3 linked regions of the Elephas maximus indicus genome follow. The main gene of each other region encodes a partner of the protein of the gene in region 2 in a complex. Links are inferred from orthologs where the notes say so. Each region holds a gene or a part of one and is shown on either strand. Other genes may lie near its edges.

Region 1 (7,545 bases), on a different chromosome or scaffold from region 2:
TCACTCCAGGGTGCCCTTTTTCCTCCTGAACATTCAGCCAATCCCCAGGTCTACCACCCAAACCTTTTGCAAAGCCAACCCTTATCTCTTTCGCCCCTACACTGATCCTCTCGCTCTTCTCCTGGATCACCTCAACAGTCTAGGTCTTCTCGTTCCTCCAATTCATCCTCCCCATGGCCAGAGAGAGTTTTCTGAAATACTCCCCAGGAAATACCTTCCATCCACTACAGGAGGAAGTACTCACCCTCTGCCATAGCTATTCAGGGTGCCCTCCATAGAACAGACACTGCCACCCTTATCATATTCACCTATTATTGCCCTCCCCCAACTCTACACTCCAGGAACTCTCTATTTCTTGGAGTTCCTCATGCTGTTTCCTCTGTCCCCATGCCAGGTGCACACTCACAGTGCCATCCCCACCCTGTCCACATAAGGAGGCTATGTGTCCTGTAAAGCCAGCTGGGGCAGCCCCGCTCATCCCAGCCCCCTCCCACACTATTCTGCATTTTCTATCGCTGCTCCTCCCTAGTGAAGTAGTTGTGATTACTTCTGTCTCCCTCACTGGGTGGCGAATTCCTGTAGGGTAAGGTCCATGGACTGCTCAACTCTAAATCCTCAGCAGTTGATAAGCTTGGCAACTAACAGGCACCAAATAAATGTCTGCAGAATTAAAAGTGACCTGTTTCCTGAACACACCCTGCCCCCCCACCCCCAGCACATCTCTCTTTCCCTCTACCTTATTTTCTGCCTCAGCCTATCAGGACGCAGATTCAGATATTCAAGTTCTTCACATCCCCAACTTGTTCCCACCTCAGGGTCTTTGATTTTGCTGTTCCCCCTGCCAGGAATGCTCTTGCCCTAGATATTCCTATGACTTGCACTCTCATTTCAGGCAGGTCCCTATTCAAATAATCTGTCCTCATTTATAAAATGCCCGACACCACATTCTATATTTGTGTTTTTTTTGTCAGTGGCCTCTCTAGGACCATCCGCTCAATGACAGCAGGTCTGTCTCATTCACCACTGTATCCCCAAGCCTATAACAGTGCCAAGCACAGTCATTTCTTCCATATTTACTAAGCATCTACTGTGTGCCAGGCCTAGGTGCTTGGGATATGTAAGGGAAAAAAACAGATAAAAATCCCTTCCCTCCAGGAGCTCACATTCTAGAGGGGGAAGACAAACAATACACACAATAAATATGTAAAATATAACTCCTAAGAAGAAAAACTAAAGCAGTTAAGGAAGACAGGAAGTGGGAAAAGCCTCATTAGGCGACCCTTCAGTAAAGTTCTAAAAGAAGTAAGTGAGCAAGTCACATGAATATTGAACTGCAAGTGCAAAGGCCCTGAGGCTAAAGCATGTCTGACTCCTGTAAGGGAAGGGTTGGGGAGGGTAGAAGAAAACGAGATCAGAAAACTGTCAGTGGGTCAGGCTGTGTAAAGCTTTAGGGCTCACAGTAAGGAGTCTGTGTTTTATTATTAATGAAATGGGGACCTATTCAAGGGTTTTTTGAGTAGAGAAGTGATATGATCTGGCCTGCTTTACAAGGATCCCTCTTGCCGCTGTGCTGAAAATGGAGGCCAGGGTAGAAGCAGGGAGACCAGTTGGGAGGCTATTCCAATAATCCAGGTGACAGGTGGCAGTGACTTAGCCCAGGATGGCAGGCATTGGACATAGAGTGAGACAGAAGAGCAATCAAAGATGACTCTAAGGGTATTGGCCAGAGCAGCTAAAGGATGCACTTGGCTTTTATTTCACTGAGATAAAAAGAGCAAGAGGAGCAATCTGGAGAGGGAGATGGAGGGGAGCTTTCGAGCGCCATTTTGGCAGATTCAGTTTGAGCTCCCCATCATCCATTTCAGTAGACATCAAGCAGGCAGCTAGATAAAGGCCTGGGAGAGGCCCAGGCTGGAGGTATAAATCCGAGCTGTTAGCTTAATATATAGGTATTTAAAGGTATAAGTCTGGATGAGTTCACCATGAGTGAAAGATGAAAGCATCACAAACACAAAAGCACAAAGAAGAATGGTGGAAAGAAACAAAGAAGAAAAGCTACAAGCCTGAAAAACCTCTCCCCCCAAATCTGGTCTGCGGTCAGTATTAGAAGACAGAATACAAAAGGTGACCCTTGCTTGTGCGGAAAGACCTTGGCCAAAACAAACAAAAAACAAAACCTCCTTCCTACACCTGGCTGAAGGGCAAATCCGAACCAATCGGCTCTGTCAAGGTATCCTTCAAACTTTGACTAAAGACCCCTGGCGTCGGCCCCATAATTTTTTAAAAGGAATCCAGTAAAACTCAGGCATCGCCTCTGCAGAAGATGGGATGCTGTAAGCCCAGAAAAAGGATGGATCACCCCCGAATTCCAATCATAAGCAATTCCCCGAATGGGGAGAAACATCCCCCTGAACGTCTGTTCAGAAGGAAGGGCAAGGGATGGGAGAGGCTTACAGGGTGGTCTCCCCCCTACCCAAAGGCTCCTTCCTTCAGAAGGCAATGCTTCCCAAGAGGGTGTATCCCCGGGGAGCCAGCGAGCCGGCAGGGCTCGGTCAGTGGAGGAATCAGGAAGGATGTTGCAGTGGGAAGGGGGCGCCGATCCAGCCAAGGGTGGGCCCGTAGGGCAAGGGGTGGGGGCGTGGTGCGCCGCGGCGACTGCTATAACGGGGGAGAGGGAGATCAGGAGGCTAAGGCTCTGTACTCAAGAAGAGGGCAAATAAAAGGCATTCCAGGGGCGCAACCCTACGCTATAATGGGGGGCGGTTCGACAGGGCGTTATGTCACCAGCGTCAGGCGTGCCTGGCTGCCACGAGGAGAACGGGAAGTGTGAACGGCACAGCTCCGAGCGTGGGGACGGAGCTCCGCCCAGGCGCAAAATCCGGGGTTCAAGGACAAGCCCCAGGTCGGAAGGACGTGCACAGAAGCGACCTTACCTGGCGCCGTAGCCGTCTCCCCCGCTCAGGTCCGGGTTTGAGAGCGCGGCCGCCGCTTCTCGCGCCGCTCACCTGCGCTTCCTGATTGGCCGAGGCTGGACGCTCCCAGAAACCCCTGCGAGGCGCGCCACCGAAGGAACTTTATGGAGACCCGCGGAGAAGGACAGGAACATGGGTGGGGCCGGGGGCGGGGATGGGGCGGGGCCTTGGGCGGGGTCTGAGGCTGCGCTGTCACTCCCGACACACCCGCGGCCACCGCCCTTACCCTCCCACGTGGTTAGAATCCGCTCTGCTGGGAGAACGCGATTCCACAATTGGCCTGCGCGGATTTCTCGCCCCTTATTAAGCGCCATCCAAGTACCAGGGACTATTCTAGGCGCTGGAGACACAGCGACGACCACGACAGACAAAACCCCTGCCCTAGTGGAGCTCTCAGGCTGGTGAGGGAAACATAATATAAGTAAATAAATAATAAATGACTGAACATTGTCAGAAGGACTATGAAGAAAGAAGAGCGACCGGAGAGAGTGCCTGGATGGCCAAGGAAGGCCTCTCTGAGGAGGTGACATTTGAGGCGAAGCATGAATGATGACAAAGGGTCAGCCTTGCACAGTCTTGGCTGCAGCATTTCAAGCAGAGGGACAAGAGTGAAGGCTCGGAGGGGGAACAAGCTTGGCGTTTGAGGAATAGAAAGGGGTGTATGGCTGGAAAACGGTGACTGAAGGCAGATGGGGTAAGACTCACAGTAGGCTGGGCCAGACTTGCAGGTCCTTTCCACCATGGCAAAAAAAGTTCAATTTCTTCTTCATGCAATGGGAAGTCTAAGTCTTTTCGTTGCTCCAACCCATCCGTCCCGTGGCTGGAGAGGCCTTTCTGAAATTCTCCTCTGCTTTGAGCCTTTTTTTTTTGAGCCCATCAGGCAGAGGGTCAGCTCAGATGTCACCGTCCAGCCACAACAGGAGGAAGTACTCATCCTTTGACATAGCTATACAGGTGCTCTCTATAGAATGGGCACAGCCACACTTATTCTCATCTGTTATTGCCCTTTAACCAACTCTATTACATTTTTTCATGAAGTGTAATTTACAATAAAATGCACCTGTTTTAAGAGCACACTTAGATTCATTTGAACAAATGTGTCTTTGTAGCCATTGCGCCAAGATATAAAACATTTTCATCATCCTAAAAAATTTCCTCAGATCCCTTTGCAGTCAATCTCATTTCCAACCCCCCCCCCAAAAAAAACCTGGGAAACCACTGATTTGCTTTCTATCATTAGTTTTGCCTGTTCTAGAATTTCATGTAAATAGAATCATACCATATCTTTTGTGTCTGGCTTCTTTAGCTCAGTTGATACCTGTATCACTAATTCCTTTTTATTACCAAGTAGTATTCATTGTATAGATACACCGTGTATTATTTATCCATTCATCTATGAGTCGGAATCTACTCGATGGCAATGGGTTTGGTTATTTTGTTTTTATTGATAGATGTCTGAGTTATTTCCAGTTTATGGCTATTATGAATAAGCTTCTATGAACATTTTTGTACAAGTTTTTGTACGAATGTATATTTCCATGTCTCTTAGATAAGTATCTAGCAGTGGAATTTCTGGGTCATATGGTGCCCTGATTAAGCGTTCAGCTGCTAACCAAAAGTTTGGCAGTTCAAATCCACCAGCTGCTCCTTGGAAACCCTATGTGGCAGCTCTGCTCTGTTCTATAGGGTCACTATGAGTTGGAATTGACTTGACGGCAACAGGTTTGGTTATTTTGATGTTTGTGGTAAATATGTGTTTAACTTTATTAAAAACTGTCAAATTATTTTCTAAAGTGGTTGCACCAGTTTGCATTCCCACCAGCAAGGTGAGCTCCAGTTGCTCTACATCTTCGCTAACACTTGATATTGTTAGTTTGTTTTGGAGTTTTTATTTTTGAGCCATCCTAATAGGTGTGTAGGGTATCTCAGTGCAGTTTAAATTTTTTATTTCCCTGAAAACTAATGATGGTGAGAAAATGGCTACATTTTAAAATTGACAACACCAGTCACGGAGGCGGCACGTGGAGCAACAGAAACCATCAGGTACTGCTGAGGGCTTGTCAGTGGGTACACCCACCTTGGAAAATGGCTCCATCTATTAAAGCTAAATATATATGCTCTGTTGTTTTGGGGTGCCACTGAGTCAATTTTCTACTCGTAGTGACCCATAGGGTTTTCTAGGCTGTAATCTTTACAGAAGCAGATCTCCGAGTCTTTCTCCCATGGAGCCTCACAATGGGTTGAAACCGCTGCAGCTTACAGTTTGCACCCAAGCACTTAACCATTGTACCACCAGGGCTCCTTTACATGTACATACTCTACAAAACAACAATTCTATGTACATATCTGTCTATCTCCAGCATAAATGTGTGCATATTCTCACCGGAAGTCATGTATAACAACATTCATGGCACCATAATTTGTACTAGGCTGAAAGTACAACCTAAATGTCCCTTAACAGAAGAGCGGACATGCAAATTATGCTGTGGTCATGTAACAAATGCAGTAAGAAAAAGAATGAACTACATCCACAAAAAGCAACTTAAAGGAACCTCACGGACATACTGGTAAGCAAAAGTAAAAAAAAAAAAAAAAACCAGTGCCGTGGAGTCGATTCCAACTCATAGCAAAAGTAGCCAGACACAAAAGTATAACTCCATTTATATAAAGTTCAAGTCAGGCCAAACTAATCTATGGTGACAGATGTCAGAATAGTGGTTATTTTGAAGGGGGAAGGAAGGAGCTATAGACTGGAAAGAAGAATGAAGGAATCCGAGGTCTGTTAATGTGTTATTTCTTATCTGGAAGCCAAGTGCCAATTTTTTTTAAAATTCACTAAGCTGCACGTTTAAGATTTTGTGCACTTTACTACGTATATATTATTCATTATATTACAATAAAAAGTTAAAAATAATGTAAAACGTCCCCTTTACTGTGGAATATTACATTTTTTACTACTCAAAATTCACATCACTGTCCCTCCCCCTACTGTCTGTAGTTTTGAACCTCATTGAACTACTGTGGTAGTCCCCCACAATACCCAGCACGTGTCACAGGGAAGGAAAGCAAGAAATATTTCTTTTAAGTAACAGAATCAAGCTCCACTGATTGCCTCCCTATCTTGACTGCGCTGCCAGAGGTGAAGTTCTTAGTGGGTGGCAACAAATTACCTAAAGCTTTGTGGTCAGTGGCTGAGTGATGAGCAATGTCCTTTAAAAATCATGAGAAGCTTCAAAGGGAAGCTTCTAACTATGCTTTCAGATGGGTTTAATTTCAGCTGCACAAAAGGCGACTTGACATTATCAGAAATGGCAAATAAGCTTTCTCTTGAACACTAAACCAGTCGCCGTCGAGTTGACTCCAATTCGTGGTGACCCCATGTGTTGCAGATAGGACTGATCCATAGGGTTTTCTGGGCTGTAATCTTGACAGAAGCAGATATCCAGGACTTTCTTTTGCAGCACCACTGAGTGAGTTCAAATCACCAACCTTTCGGTTAGTAGTTGAGCGCAAAGCGTCTGGCTATTCAGGGACCTAGTTCAAGAGCAGGCATAGCTGATCTGTGGTGATAGAGGTGAGGATAATTGTTCCTCAGGAGTAGGTATGACTGGGAAAGAGCTCAAGGGAACTGTCTGGGTTGCCAGAAATAGTCTGTATCTTGATCTGGATGGCAACACAGGTGTGTGCATATATATATATATATATATTTTATATGTGAAGTTTTATTTAGCTGTACACTTAAGGTTTGTGCATTTTACTGGGTGAAATTATTTCTCGATAAAAATATTAACAAACTTAAACTTAAAAAGTGATTCATGCCTGTTATTCTGTTTGAGCCTGGCAACAATCTTGGGGTAGGCAGGGCAGGGCTTATTATCATCATTTATCCCATGGGAAACCTAAGATCTAGGGGGGTTCCGTGACTTACCCAAGGTCACACAGGCAAGAAGTAGTGGCAGACCTGAGCCTACACATTCAAGTCTTCTGACATCTGGGACAGTCTCTCTAGCCCAAGAGAGCCTCAGAGGTGAACTTAGAACCAACCCTACATGAATTATAATGAGGAGCTACCCAACGAAGTCCTTAAGGGAATTTTAGTGCCAACTTTCTGAACTGGGACCGGAACGAATCCCACGCCCTCATTAATCAGCAGCAGCCGGCTATCAGATGACATTGTGAAGGTGGTGGGTTTTTTAAACATCTGGTTATTTCATTTGTTATTAAACATACTGTTGAGTAAAAAAAAATCCTACACATCTTTCCATTGCTGCTGTTTAAAAACAGCTTTGCCAACATCTATCAACTTCATTTACGTCAAATTGTGCAATTTGTCACTGAGGCTGAATTTGCCAAACGAGAAAGGAATTTGATTGACAAGGCTCCAGGGCTTCTCTCTCCTCCTTTTCAATATTCCAGATGTTGAAGAAAGTTGGATCCACCCCCAGGAAAGCTCAGATGTGAGTGAAAAATGTACCAATGGAGCTTCAGGGATATGGTTTCAGTTTCTGTAGAAACTTTGCCTCCAAGAGACCCCATCTTCTTGATTGGTTCAAATTACCCTCCATTTTCAATT
Region 2 (7,974 bases):
AATTTCAGATTCTAAAATAGTTTCACTTTCTACACCATTGTTAACTGTTTTTACTGCAGAAAGGAATAGATGCAGAATGTAGAACAAATTCTGTTATAATCATATTTCTATTAGTATTTTCAGCACTAGTGGTACTAGTACAACAATTTGTACCTGTTAAACTCTAGCGTTCAATGGAAGAAGTTCTTCTGATTCATTGTGTTATAAAGAGGAAGTTAATTTTCAAATTGCCTTTGGAGATTCACAAATCCTTTTTATCTTCTGTGAGCTGTCGTTTTTTGTGCTTCACTTAGTTGTTGCCGTTTCATTTTACTTGGATATAAAATTATGTCACTTTTTAAATTTGGTTCAACTGTGGCAATAAATTCGAAAAATTGAACATAAAATTTATAAAACAAGGGAAACTTATAAGACAAAATTTACATTAGAATTTGGATGTTAACACAAAAATCTATATTTGAAAATTAGTAAGTTAAAAAAAATTTGATTTGGAACATGCAATTTTGTTCTGCAGGTCTGAGACAATTAAAAAAATAGAACTTACAAGGCAGTCAGAAATAATTTCATTAATTTATTGTATGATGCTTGTTGATGGGCCCTACACAGATCTCCATGAGTGTTTTTCATCCTGAAATAATACTTAAACACTTGTGCACTCACTTTTCATCCTTCGATACTGCATCTTCACAGATCATTGGACTACTGCTGATACTCAAGGGGTGTGAGAGCAATTTCAAAGAGCATGATACAAATACAAGGGTTTGCTGAATGTGCAGATACATTTTGGTTCAATTTGCGCAGGACAGGACTAGTATGTCACAAGTTACATGATTATAGTCGCAATGATGCGTTCTTTTGTGTTTGGTGAGCAACAACTGAATGTGAGGTCATACCTGATAGGTCCGAAATGAAAAGGAAAATATAATTGTTATCGTATACAACATTTATAAAATATGCATTTTATTTCTTTGTGGAATCGTTCAACTCCCATATTTGGAGATACATACACACATAACTGATGTAACGATAACAGCACTTCTCGAAAAGCAAGTTTGTTTTGTGAGTCATAACAATGTCAATCGACTTCTGAAAGGAAATGGAAAATAAAATACACTTATATAATTTTTATTATCTAACGTTTCATTTAATTTATTTCCTTGAGGAATTGTTCAATTTCCTTACACAGAGATACATAAATATTCTGATAAAATATAATGTTCTGATAAATGTCCTTTGTTGCTTTCTTGGAGGATGAATTTATAAACAGACTCATTGTTGCAAAACAGAAACATATTATGCATGATAAATATTGAATTTTGCATAATCTTAACTTGCCTGATACTGTGTTCATTAGCACATATACAGCAATATCAAGCACTGTGTTCACACAACAGACAATAAAAAACAAAACTCACTTGACACATAAATTAAAACTTTCCCTGTTAGATAAATATTATTATTTCTAGTATTTTTGGATGTTTGCTATGTTAGTATTACATTAAATTATTGCCCATTAGTATTATATTAAATGTATGCTAAACTGTGTCTGCCTTTATGCCAAACATATTTTAAAGTTATAAATGTTATTGTTTACATTACTTAGGACATAATTCAGTATGTAAATGCTAGACAGTTAAAAAGTAACTTGATTGGATTCATTGCAGTAGTTGACTTATTTGAGTTCCCTCACTTTTGCGAGTCATCTGGGACTGGAGTTCCCATTGGCTGTTTACCAGGACGTGCACAAGACCGTATCCTTGTGTTTGCATCATGGCCAAAATCATTGTCTCCTGGCTGGAGTTGCTGGATCAGCAGATATGGACGGGTGTGACTGGATCTGAGACTTGTTATCTATTAATATAATCCATCCTTGCCCAGTAACCACTCTTGTTGGATCAAGCTGCATATTGGATGAATGTAGCAAGAGTTAGACTTGACGGCCCACCCCACCTCTTATTTATTCGGAAGAAACAGTATACTCACAAGAGACTCACTGAGACAAGGAATTTCGATTACACAGGAAGGGACCGTAGGAGACAGATGTCAACAAAGATGTTGAAGTGGTAGGGGCCTCATAGCTTAAACAACCCTATGTATAGGCACTGTCGTGACCTTGTGTGAACTTTATTTCTGGTTGGCACATTCTCACGCACTGGAATGAGTATCAGTTTCGTTTAGTGCCTTGCCAGTTCTCTTCCTCTGTGGTGCTTGCTTTTCCTTGTGTCTTGTCTTCTTGGCATCTATGGGTCTTTGCTTTGGACAACTGGTGCCCCTGTTTTGTTGACACTCTAAGCACGTGCTTACCTTGGTTATTGGGTAATCCACCCCTGGCTGCAGCGAAGGACTCAGACGTGCTGGCAATGGTAAGGATGATGCAGGACCAGGCAACATTTCATTCTGTTGTATATGAGGTTGCCTTGAGTCGGAGTCAACTCGACAGCAGCTATCTGTCTATTTTAAGATCTGAAAGAGCTTCGTGTATGCAGTTAAATCTCAATTAGGGCAATGAGAGAAGTTATGAATAATCTAAAACCATTGGGAGTGCAAGATTATAGCCTTCTGTCTCTTGGAATGGATCAATTGGACTGTGGCACAGTGCAGCCCCTCGTTGCAGATTAATCACAAATTGTTTAATTGTAGAGCACTCCCAAGGCCTCAGTGCACTCTAACAGCCTGGTTAAACTAGCCCTAAGTAATTGACTACACCTCCATTTCGCACTTATTTTACCATATATATATATATATATATATATATATATATATTGCTGTCAAGTCAATTCCCACTCATAGTCAAGTCAATTCCCACTCATAGCGACCCCACAGGGCAGATTAGACATAGCTTATCCTTATTTAACAAATGCTCATATAGCCTATGTGTCAGGCACATTCTAAGCACTTTACAAATAAGCCTCTCAACAACCCAAGGGCGTAAGTACTATTGTCATCGTCATCCTCTTTGAAAGGTGAGGAAACTGAGGCACTGAGGATTGTTTCACAGCCAAGTGATTGAAACAGGATTTGAACCCCAGAAGCCTGGCTCTAGGGTCTGGTTTCTTAACACTATTCTACATGGCCCCTCTCTTTCTCTCCCAGTAAGTAGATTATGGAGGCGCCAGGAGAGAGGCCCAGACTAGAGATACAAGTACGGATTTATCAGCCAACAGGTAGTACTAAGAAGCCATAGGATCTCCCAGAGAAAGCATGTAGAACAGAGACCAAGGGAGGGACCATGAGGGGAGAGCTACATTTAATGGGTGAAAAAAGGAAGAGCAGCCCATGCAGGAAACGTAAAAGGAAAACTAGAAAGAGGAAAACCTGGACGTGTGATGCTCCACAAGCCAAGACCAGAAAAAACGTTTCTAAGACATTCAGAAAAGTGCACGTGGGATTTGACAGTTGGTCACAGGTGACTTTACTGGGAGCAGTTTTAGAGGGGTGGTGATGGGGGCAATATCCTGATTGCTATGGGTTGAGGCATCCCATGAGAGAACTTGAGTCAGTGTGGTGATGGGTGAGCGTGAGCTGCAGGAAGTTAAATCATTCCTTCACGGAAAGCAAAGCCATCGACCAAGAGGGAAGTATGTGGGCTTAAAGAGTGTGTGTGGGAGGAAGGCTTGTAAGAGTTGTGCTGAGAAAGAAAATCTTGTTTGGACTCTGCTTCCTTCCAAGTTCCCGATCAATTTTCTTCTCACCTTCATGGAGAACTTCATGAAAAATCCCTTCATTCTCTCTTCCTCTCTCTTCCCCTTCATTCCTGAGAATCACTTTCATTGTAGCCTGGCATTTGCCTCTATACTGAAATGGCTTTCAAAAAAACCACCAGTAACTTTTGTGTTTCACCTAGTGTACATTGGACCAGTCTCACTCAATATTATTTGTTCAAAAGAATGAATATACTCAATATTCTCAACAGTATACTCTATGGTTTTATCTGCATTATTTAATTCTAATTCTGACAGTGAACTGGGAATGCAAACCCTATTTCCTCTCAACCTCAGTGAAATATTGGAGTTGATAAAGTGAGACTGTAAGACACATGGAGCATCTTTGAGATAAGCAGCTATAATTTTATCATCCCTCTTATAGGGTTGTGGCAGGAATTAAATGATATAATGCATATACGATTTTTAATATATGCCTGGCATAAGTTGTAATGATTTTTATATTTTAGTTTGATGCAAGTGAATAAACAGGGCCCAGCTATTCTGATGCTTAGGTAAAAAATACTTGGTGTTTCTGAAATATGTCAGGAATTTGCTGCGGAGAGGGGAGAATTGGCCAAGTTTTTGACGTTGGAGGCTCGTTATTTTTATTTTGTATATGTTCAAAACTTTCATAATAAAAAGTTATGATTTGTTTCCCTTTGATTTCTTTCACTCTCTGTAATGTTGACGCAACATGCAAGGAAGAGTTAGTTTTAAATTAAGAGAATTATTTTGAATGCACGGCTTTTATAATATCATAAACAGGCGACATTTTAATAACTAGTCTCAGGATGTCTTTGTCCAGCGTTACGGAGCCCTGGTGGTGCAGTGGTTAAGAGCTTGCCTGCGAACCTAAAGGTCCGCAGTTCCAATCCACCTGAATCCACCAGCCACTCCTAGGAAACCTTATGGGGCAGTTCTACTCTGTCCTATAGGGTCGCTGTGAGTCGGAATCGCCTGGAAAGGAACGGGTATAAACAAATTTCACTTATCACCAGGAAGAAACTACATGTCCCAGGATGCCTAGAGGCTCAAAGTAAGACAGAGGGCCTCGCGTCTCCGAACTGGTTGCCCTCGCCTTACCTGAATGGGATTAATCCCGGTGGAGATTGACGTTTGTGACCCAAAGCAGATTCTCGAGTCTTTCGCCCGCCCAGGCCGACCGAGCGCGCCGTTCGGAGGGGACAGCGTGGAGCTTTTCTGTTCAGGCGCCGCTGCGGGCAGCCTCACCCCGTCGGGGTCCTCCGTGCGGCCCGAGGGCTCCGTTAGTACGCCTCCAAGATGGCGACCCCGTTGGCGGTAAATTCGGGTGAGTGCGGCCAGGGCAGGAGGGAAAGGCCGGGCAGGGCAGGGCGGAGATCGGTTCTTCAGGGAGGAGCTCGGGCTGTGAGGTTCCTCCGAGGCCAGGCCCCCACGCGTGCTCGGTATCCGCCTTTTTCTAGCTTTGGGCCTAGGGTCCCGCTCCTCTCAGGTTTGAATGGCACGCGTTGGCGCGGCGGCTCTGGCCCTTGGGTCGGCGTCCCAGGGCCGAGGCAGTGAGGCTTAGTCCCCTGCAACCGGATGTGCAGTCTCTCCCAGCCCGGGGCCGAGTCTGGTTCCTGCTCCCCCTACCCTATTAGGTATCCTCGGCCCGGGTTTCGCCAAGATAGGCGTCAAATCTCCGGCAGTGAGCCCAAAGGACCTGAGAGATTTTTCAGCCACGAGCGGAAGCTGAAAAACTCGAACCCCAAATCCGTAGGGAGGCACCGGAGCCGCTGACAGGGGAGTCCTATAGGCAGTGAGGACCCTTGATTATGCAGTCTGCGATCCGGAAAGTGGCCGGGCTTGGGTTGCCGCGGGCTTGGCTGATGACTCCCAGCTCTGCGGGCGTGGCCCGGCTCTGGATGCTCCTGTACCTTTGGGGCAGTAGATCTTCGGGGTGGAACAGAATTTAGAAGGTGGCAAAGGAACTCTAAAGAGCACTAGTGACGCAGTGGTTAAAGCGACCGACTGCTAACTGAAAGGACGGCAGTTCGAAACCACCAGCCACTCCGCAGGAGGAAAGTGTGGCAGTCTGAGTCGGAGTGTACTCGGTGGCAGTGGGATTGGAAAGGAGTGCCGGAAGATTTGGGGTGGGGCTTCTTTTGGTGTTTTTCCACCCAGGGCGGTACCTCCCCCAAGGACGTTTCATATTGGGTGCATTTTTGATTGTCACAATTCCTGGGGTGCGATACTGGCGCTTAGTGGGCGGGGCAAGGATGTCAGAAGTCCTGTATGGGCGGGGCTGTCCTGAAAACGTAGGATTTCCCGCTGGGAATGTCAGTAATGCCCCGGTTGAGACGCACTTAGCTTCTTGGTCACAATTAAGAGAATACCTGTGCGATAAATCTTTGTAGAGAATCTCACTCAAGAGCACTCCTTCGTGGGAGCCTTTTGCCTCTAATTATGCAGTGCCTTTTTGGGGGGGAGGAGTGCAGGTTCTACTTTTCACAGAACGGGTACTCCTGAAAAATTGTCTAAATTTGAGTTTTATAAACCAAACCACTTAAAAACACTATGATAAATTATTTTATAATAACGATGGTTTATATTTATTGAGCACCTGTGTCCCAGGCACTGGACTGACTGCTGTACTTGTATTATCTCGTTTAATTCCTCTGAGGCGCCTATGGAGTGGTGGCTTTTAAATACCTCGCTTTACAGACTTGAAAACAGAGGCTTCGAGAGGTTTAGTGACTTCCCCAGGATTTATACAGCTTAGGGGCTTAAATTACTGCACCCCGCCCTCAAAAAAAACCAAACAAACCATTGCCATCCAGTCAATTCCAACTGATAGCAACCCTATAGGACAAAGTAGAACCGTCCCCTAGGGTATCCAAGGAGAGCCTGGTGGATTCGAACTGCCGACCTTTTGGTTAGCAGCTGCAGCACTTAACCACTACGTCGCCATGGTTTCCAAACTATTGCACGCTACTATTTAATCACAACCCAATTCATTTTATTACATCAAATTTTCATATATTTAAATTTTAATAATGAGGTTACGTCCTTAATGTTGCTGTCACGTTTCCTACCAGGTATAAACTTAAAAGCAAGGCTTGTATACTGTGTGTGTGTGGTTATATATATTTCCTTAGTACTTATTCATCCTGAGTTACTATCATTAAACACTGAAGCAGAAAGGAAAAGCAGTTGTCAACAGTTGCAAAGTGTTTATTGTACTTTGTATAATAAAGCCTGTGGCAGAGCTTTTAATTGGCTATGTAGAAAAGAAACATTTTTTTAAAATCTAAGAATCAGGAGAATTTTTTTTTTTTTTTTACAATTGTAGAAGGGGAAAAAATAGATTGTAGAGTCCTAAGACCTGTGTTTGAACTTCACCTGCATGACTTACTAGTTGTTGTTAGTAAGCAACCATTAACAGTACTTGACAGTGCTTCCAGTAATCTGGTCACCTCTGCCCCATTCACAGCAGTGACAGTTTCAGACCTTTTTCACACTCCTCAAATCTTTAACCTCCAGCTGATACCTCAGCCTCAGCCACCTAGTCACAGAGAACATGAGAAGCCAACAGGCACAACCTCTCTTTTTTCACCCTTTGTCACACATACAAACCTAGATATCTCTGTACCCTTTCCAAGCAGTTTCCTCCCCTCCTCCTATTTAAGGCAATATCCCCCTTTTTTGTTATTTTAATTAGTTTTTATTGTCTTTTAAGTGAAAGGTTACAAATCAGGTCAGTCTCTCATGCAAAAATTTACATACACCTTGCTATACACTCCGAATTGCTCTCTCCCTAATGAGATAGCACAGCCCTTCCCTTCACTCTCTCCTGTGACCATTCGGGCAGCTTCTGGCCTCCTCTGCCCTCTCATTTCCCCTCCAGACAGGAGATGCCAACATAGTCTCATGTGTCTACTTGATCCAAGGAGCTTGTTCTTCACCAGTATCATTTTCCATCCCATATTCCAGTCCAATCACCGTCTGAAGAGTTGGCTTTGAGAATGGTTCTTGTCTTGGGCTAACAGAAGGTCTGGGGACTATGGCCTCCAGGGTCCTTCTAGGGCCAGTCTGACCATTAAGTCTAGTCTTTTTACAAGAATTTGGGGTCTGCATCCCACTGTTCTCCTGCTCCCTCAGGGGTTCTCTGTTGTGTTCCCTGTCAGGGCAGTCATTGGTTGTGGCCGGGCACCATCTAGTTCTTCTGGTCTCAGGCTGATGTAAATTCCACTCTTTATGCCCTGCTCCCTGTCTGTTATCCTTCTCTCTCTTGTATATTTACCTCTCTCGC
Region 3 (7,403 bases), on a different chromosome or scaffold from region 2:
ACTGGGGCACTGCCCCTCCCAGGGGAGGCTGCAAACAGTGACAGCATGCCAGGCTGCCTCTCCTGACCTCCCGGCTGCAATGGCGAAGTCGATTCTTTCCTGGGCTTTCCTCTGCTAGTGTCTGTTCCCTGAGCCCAGCAGGCAGCAGGCAAGAGGTGAGGGTGGCAGGAGCAGCAGGGGCTAGATGTGAGGCGTCCCCAAGATCTTGTCTCCCTGCCCTCTCCCTGCCCCAACATATCCTCCTCCTCGAGGTGGCCTCTCAGCATGAAAGTGCTCTGGCCACCTCTCTGCTGGCTTATCTTCTGTCCTCTGAGGTGCAACTCTGATTTGTACTGTATGAGACACTAAATAAAAACAACTTCCAAATGCGGATTCTTGGTCCTTTTCTCCCAGTCAGCCCTGATCTCAAGATGAGCTTGGGAATGAATGTTTGGCAGGTACCCAGACCCTCTGTGGGCACAACTTCCAAATCCAAATCCTGCTTAGCTGGAAGGTCCCTGCAGACTTAGGTCTGGCCCAGAGGTCACACACTGGGGCCACAGGACGAAGCCACTGCAGATGTGTTTTGCTTGGACTTCAGTGTTTTAAAAATGCTTTTAAAAATTGGGAAATTTCACATAAAAATCCAGGCTTTTAAGCTTTTTTGATGAGCAGAAGGTGATAACACAGGACCCACATACTAACATGGCTACCACTGGCTGGAGCTGCCTCTTTAGAGGTATGTGTGCTTTTGGGTCCGGCACGGTTCCCACTTTCCCATCCTCATTCATGTCTGTTACCTGGCTGACATTGGTGAGCAAGTTTGTGACCCTGATTTAGTGTAGCCCCCCACTCTATACATGGACCAACCAAGGCCAGAGGAAAAAGCCCTCTCCCAAGACCACCCAGGGAATCAGTGGGGCAAAGCTGATGCTGCCTCCATTTGGCAGGCAGTAGAAGGGAGCCTGAAGGAAGGGACAGATTTGTTAAGTCTCCTTTGTGCCCTAAAGGAATGTCTTGGTACCCTCCTCTGAGGGAAAGGACTTGGCAGTGATTCTCAGGCAGAAGTGCAAGCTCCCCCAGAGCTGGTCCTGGCTCTGCTCCTGGCTTCTGGCCTTGTTGGACCAAAGTTCTCATCTCTTTGTGCTAGGCCTTTCCCTACCAGATTGGACGTTCAGCCTCATGAAATGTGCTGTGCTATCTTCCTGCTGATAGGAAACTTTTATCCATTCAGCGAATGCCGACCAAGTTCCTGCTTACGTGCCAGGCTCTCTGCGTGGGACACAAGGCTGCGGTGTAGGCTCCTTGCTCGGGCAGAGTTCCAGAGTAGAGCCATTCTGAACTCCCAGGAAACTCCTCCAGCCCCTCTGAACCTGTCCTAACCAGAACCCAGTGCTGTCGAGTCAATTCCGGCTCATAGCGAGCCTATAGGACAGAGTAGAACTGCCCCATAAGGCTTTAATATGCTGCCAAGGGAAGAGACAAAGACAGGTTTGATGTGACTGGAGTGTGAGAGGGTCTCAGGAGGGACCCCTTGACAAGATCCTGTGCTGTCCAGCTCAGCAGCACCACTCGGCCAGGCCGCAGAGGCCTTGGAGGGCGGGGGTGGGGGAGGAGGTTGGCTGAAACAAAATATCAGTGCAGGACCTGATCCTCTTCTTCATACACACAACAAGCTGACCCTACCTCCCCCCTTCAGTTCTTCCTACCCCAAATGAAACAGGGAAGTAAAAGTAAAGATCGCTCGGGTCTCCAAGTACAACTGATAAAGCCCCCTTGGCTCGCATGGCTTTTTTGCTACGATGAACCTGGTCTCAGGTTATAATGACACTTTCCCGCACTGATTGCTCATCGTGCCCTGGACTGGACACTTTACATATCTCATCTCACTGGATCCTCACAACACCCCCATGAGATATGCGCTGTTAATTCTCATCTTGCAGACAGGAGAACTGAGTCCACACAGTTAAGTGCCACAACCAAGGATTCTAACCAGATTAGTCTGACACCAGAACCTGAAGCATTAACCCCTATGCTCTACTTCCTCCCTCCAGTGTCCACTCCTGCCCCTTCTGAGGACTGCTAGGTGTGTGTGTGTGGAGGGAGGGGGTCTGCAGCACACTCGAATTCTTTGAGCTGCTGCACTATTCTTTGTTTTTTTTTTTTTTTTAACATTAGCAAAACTAAAACCAAGAAAGCTTTGATTTTTATTTTAAATTTGAACCACCCAAAAGTCCAATCTTCTTTTCACCCCTTGGCTCTTCATACCCAAGTGGCTGGCTGCTGTGGGGGCCATTCACACTCCCCATGTTCCTGTCTCCTCCATCACTACTGCTGCACAACAACTAGGCCATCAGCAATATCAGGAGGTAGAGAGGCAAAAGGAGATTGTCTATCTGTGTGGTGTACGCTTCTAGGAGGGACACAGTACTGATGGACCCCAAAATCCAAGCATAATTGTAGTTTAGGTCCACTTCACTGTCAAAGATTAAGATCAGAGCTACAGAAATGATCTGGGCAAATATAGACGTCATGGTCCCCTCGAAAGTCTTTTTAGTTCCAGGCCAGTGGATCTCTCCCATGGCGCTGCCAAAGACAGAGGCCACAGTATCGCCTACACCCACAGCCAGGACGCCAGCGTAAGGGACTAGGGCCCTTGCTCCCCCGAAGCTACCCTTCTGTGTACAGGGTCTGGGGACCAGCCAAATGGGAAGAGACACGCCCAGGAGCAGGTAGATGTGGGTCAGGATGAGTGGTCCACTGTCTCGTTCATCCAGGAAGAGGGACAGGAGGTTCCGCAGAGTGTGGCCCAGGGGCTTGATGCGGAAGTAGCGCACATACTCCAAGAAGATGAAGACTGCCAGGCATACAGTGGCGGCCACATAGAGCAGTGGCCGGTCAAAGATGATACCTGGGATGTAGGTGGCTACCACAATGAAGTGGAAATACTTCCGGGCGATGGTGGGGGCCTGGTGCTTCTTGGATTCAGAAGATGACCGCTTTGCATTCTGGTACAGCACTACCAGGCAGGCCAAGGTGGCCAGCAGAGACCAATAGGCTAGGAGGTAGATGCGGGTATCTGTTTGGAAGAGGAAATGAAGGAGCCAGAGCAAGGGATTCCTGCGGATGAGTCGATGCAGCCAGGGCAGGACCACACCAAGGCCCAGCACGCAGGTCATGAGGTGGAAGAAGATGGAGGAGGCCCAGGTGCCTGAGTCCATGAAGGCAAAGAGGGTGCTGAAGAGGATACCCATGAGCACCATCCCTACCACCACTACCAACAAGAAGAAGTCCACTGGGTCCCCCTGGTTTTCCACCACTGTCAGAGAGCGCTTGATAAGCTGGTTGAGCACAAAGCTGATGCCACCTAATACCAGCACTGCCTCTCCAGGGGTGAAGCAGCGGGGCAGCAGGTACAGCAGGATCATGTTGAGGTACACGAAGATTAGCAGGACCTCTAGGACCTCAATCACCTCACCCACACTAAGCGAGTGCTTCATGATGTAAATGATGCCACCTCCAGCCAAGCCCGAGATGACGCAAGTGTTGGTGGGCACGGGGCGAGTGATGCCCAGCGCCAACACTGACGAGAAGAGGGCCACTGCCATGCCAGTGGCTGCTACGACGATACCAAAACGTTCAAAGTGTGGGTTCCCTGCAGCCTGGCAGCGTTCCTTCATGACCAGTCCGAGCAAAGGCATGACCATGGAGGCAGGCAGTAGTCCACTGTTGGCAGACATTCGGAACTGGAAGACGGCGCCTCCTTGCTGGAGCAGCCGGTCCCACTTGTATTGGACGTAGAAGGCCTGCACTGCGAGGGCCACAGCGCACCACGAGTATCGGTCCCACACGGTTACGTGAATGCTCAGCACCATGGCGAACACCACTGCCGCCTCTGCCAGGACCGAACCGCTCAGCGGAGCTCCCGCCCCCGGGGTCGGAGGAGCGCTATCTCGGGTCATGTCTCCAGGCTTGAGGCCCCCGGAAAGCCGGGGTGACTAGGGACGCCTTGGACTCTTGGTCCCTCAGCACCGCCAAGCAAAGGACAACGGTTTCACCCAGCCAGTAACCTTCTCCCTCCGTTTTCCAGTTGTAAGGACAGAACTCCACTGCAGGTCACTCTCTGCGGCCTGAAAGCTGGAGTCCCGTCACTCTCCACCGCCTCCAATTTACGGAGTAGACACCGTCTCTCGGCCGCCTTCCTCACGACCGCGGACACCCTGGCCGCTGGTTCTCCGCTTCCCCGGGTATCGCCATCTTGGCCCCGCCCCGTACCGGACTCACGTGACGGAAGCTCCGCCCCACGCGTCAGGTACCAGGCGAGCGGTCACGTGGGCGCCGCGTCTGGGGGCGGGGCTGGGGCGCGCGCGCGGGAAGATGGCGGCGGCCGCCGGCGAGCCGTGTGTGAGGTGCGGAGCGGGCCAAGTTGTCGGGGTTGGCTGTGAGGCGCGGGCTCGAAACTAAGCAGAAGCGGGGCGGGAATTGGGAGCGGGATGTGGCGGCGGTGGCGGTGCGAAGCCCGGCTGGGTAGACGGCGCCGAGACGGGAAGCGGTTACGTGCAAACGGTCCCCGCGCGCGGGGAGCTGAAGGGACTTCTCCAAGCGGAGGGCCGGTTCCTCACCTTATCCCTCAGTTCTGGGCTTCCCGTCTCCTCACCCAAGTCCTTTTCTCTTCTTCCCCTCTTCCCGTCCGTGTGTCCTTTGGAGCCCCACTAGCGCTTCCTCGTCTGGCTGTGACGCTACCTCGAGGCGCAACGGGCGCTTTGCGGTCGCCTGGAGGACCCTCTCCTTCCCTCCCCCTCCCCCCACGTCCCCGCCGCAGCCCCCCGGTGACCTGTCCCGGGCCTTCCCTGCCTCTCAGGTTCTCCTCATGTGCTCTCTTGTTGCACAGAGCCACCTCCTTGTAGTTTTTGTCCTCATTCTCCGCTCAGCCTTTCATCCACCCATCTATTCATTATTTTACTCATTGATTCGGTCAGCCGATGTGTTCAAATCTCCCAAGAGATTTCAGGCACTGTTCTAGGCTTTGGGAGCAAGAAGACGAAACGCTAAAAAGAATAATACAGTTTTCAATATAGAGGGTTTGCTCTTGCCAGACACTGGTGAGATCCTTTTGAATTCTCACAGCTCTTGTGAGGTACCCTTTACAGATGAGTCAGAAGTCCCGCTCTGCTAGCTAAGGGGTAAAGTGAGGGAGGATTCAAATCCGAGTCTGTTCGACTCCAGAACTGTAATGAAACCTTCACACCCCTGTCTTCCACATTCCACCTTGAAGAGGTTTCGTCCATTCTACTCCCTCCCACCTTCCCTAGTCAAAGTAGTTATGGCGCTTATATTCCCAGTGCCAACAATGTTTTCCCCACTTTTTTGTCGTATTCCCCACTGTATCCTCCGTACCCAGGAATAGCATGTAATTAAAAAAAAAAAAAGCCATTAGTATTTATTACAAATATTGTCCGTTTTCTCTGGCATCACTTTAATTTCCCAGCTGAAAGTGAGATTTTTCTCCTCTGGAATTTTCCCTGGACTACCTCTGTACCTTGTGAGGACCAGTTTGCTTTTTTCTCCTCTGTCGTTTCATGCCAACCATTGTATCAGGACAGCATTGTAGCCACTGTGCCCTCCTTTTCTTAGGGTTGTTTCATAGTCGTTATGGCTCCTGTAGAATAAAGCATGTTCCTTAATGAAAAGGAACATTAGGAAAGCATTGGTTTGCCTGAAAGATGACTTGTTCATGCTGGGGAACCTACCAAACTCATCCTAAGGAGGAAGAAAGGGCATTAGAGTTCTTAGGCACTGCTTTGCTCATGGCTTGTATCAGGAGAGTGATTTTTTTGTGTGTGTGTGCCAAAAGTCACATTCAGTAGCAGATGGAATTATACTGAGCAGCAGTCCTCTGTCTGAAATGCCTGTAGGTCTGGACTAAGAGAAAACTTAATTCTCTTCCTGATGCCTCAGATTTGCAGATGACTGCAGACAAGCGACCTCACCATTTTGAACCTGTCTCTCCAAATGCAGATCATTTCCAGAGTAGTATTGAAGTGGCTGTGAGGCTTTTTTTTTTTTTTGTAGGAAAAGTCATTGTGAATGTTAATACAAGCTGGCATTAGTTTAAAAAAAAAAAAAAAAAAGGAATACTACCCTTAAATCAATCTTTTGGAAAGGTCACTCAGGAATTGGCAGAAAGTTTGAATATTGGCACTTTTCTTGTAACTCCTGCGTTCTTCAGTTAAAGTGTTTGAATTAGTCTGAATGGTGTAGGTGTGCTAAACAAAAATAGAACTGCAATTTGGAAAGCTTTTGCTGCTGAGCTTAAATCTCAGTTCACACAAGAGAGGTATACTTCCTCTGTGAAGTTAGAGCGTCCACGGGCAGTGGTAGCTTTTATTTATTAAATATCTCATCAAGGTAGCTTGGCTGTGTCCCAGCTTTCTATCCAAAGGACTGAATTGTAGAAACAGTTATTTCTAACTCCCAGTAGCCTTCACTCATAGCTTTCCAATGAGATGGATGACTAAAGAAGATAATTTTCAGGCTCCATTAACTTCAGCTCTTGTAGGAATGACGTTCCATGTTTGCTGGAACACTGGACTGGAAATAGTGAAGTTTTTAAAACTTTACCTTTGAATTTGAGGCAAATTATTTAATCTGTGCCTTAGTGTCTCCCCCACATACTTCGCTGAAAGGAGTATTATGCATGTAAATGAGAGACATTAGCACATAGTTTCTTGGAAATATATATAGAAGCTATTTCCCCGAGTCTTGGGTGGGCTTCACAGTTCTAAGTTTCAGTCAAGCCTTTAGGTCCCAATTTGAGATGAAGCCTTTTGTCAATCACTGAATCAGTCCCCAGCAATCCCTCTCTCTTCTGACTTTTCTGTTCTATGTGGTTAAGTTTCTTTGTATTAGTTGTTAGTATCATGCCGTTTAGTACTTTCTTCCTTTTTGCCGATTGTGTAATGTGTATTTAATATCCTTTGCCGTTCTCATCCCTTAAGCTTAGCATCATAAAGGTCTTAGATTTATTTGTATCCCCATTATTCCTAGGCCAGTGAGTATGTAGGTATTGAGGAAACCAGTTAGACTTACTTCCATAGATTTTGTTCCTGATAACTCTACCATTTTCTCCTTTATTCTCCCTTCTGTTGGTACTTCTGCATATATTGTTTTTCTTGATTTTTCTGTTCCAGTTAGATTGCAAGCCTAAAAGGGACCCATATCATTCCCTTTCTTTGATGTTTATTCTTTCAAATATCTGTGCCAGCTACTACGTTAAGGGTATGGTCCGCTATTGTAGAACACCTCAGTTGACATCTTTGCTTGCTGGCAGCATGAATTCTTGGGTGCATCCTGAGGCAGTGAAATGTAGTAGTTGAGCTCTGGAGTCATGCAGAGCACCTGGTTCAAGCCCTGGCTCCATTGTA

What was found.
Region 1: NUP205 (region 2) and NUP93 share a complex: the UniProt entries of both Homo sapiens proteins name them as parts of the nuclear pore complex. The link is inferred for Elephas maximus indicus from reciprocal best matches to the Homo sapiens genes NUP205 and NUP93.
Region 3: NUP205 (region 2) and NUP188 share a complex: the UniProt entries of both Homo sapiens proteins name them as parts of the nuclear pore complex. The link is inferred for Elephas maximus indicus from reciprocal best matches to the Homo sapiens genes NUP205 and NUP188.

What each region holds. Positions count from the first base shown.
Region 1 is NC_064839.1:23,667,297-23,674,841, reverse strand, and holds the start of NUP93 (nuclear pore complex protein Nup93), read right to left. Parts: upstream 3,075-7,545; 5' UTR 2,934-3,074; intron 1-2,933. UniProt on the Homo sapiens protein: Plays a role in the nuclear pore complex (NPC) assembly and/or maintenance. May anchor nucleoporins, but not NUP153 and TPR, to the NPC. During renal development, regulates podocyte migration and proliferation through SMAD4 signaling.
Region 2 is NC_064826.1:14,293,024-14,300,997, reverse strand, and holds the start of NUP205 (nuclear pore complex protein Nup205), read left to right. Parts: upstream 1-4,923; 5' UTR 4,924-4,985; coding exon 4,986-5,013; intron 5,014-7,974. UniProt on the Homo sapiens protein: Plays a role in the nuclear pore complex (NPC) assembly and/or maintenance. May anchor NUP62 and other nucleoporins, but not NUP153 and TPR, to the NPC.
Region 3 is NC_064827.1:79,928,748-79,936,150, forward strand, and holds the start of NUP188 (nucleoporin NUP188), read left to right. Parts: upstream 1-4,309; 5' UTR 4,310-4,356; coding exon 4,357-4,388; intron 4,389-7,403. Other genes in the region: DOLK (dolichol kinase), read right to left, coding at 2,325-3,941. UniProt on the Homo sapiens protein: Component of the nuclear pore complex (NPC), a complex required for the trafficking across the nuclear envelope. Required for proper protein transport into the nucleus.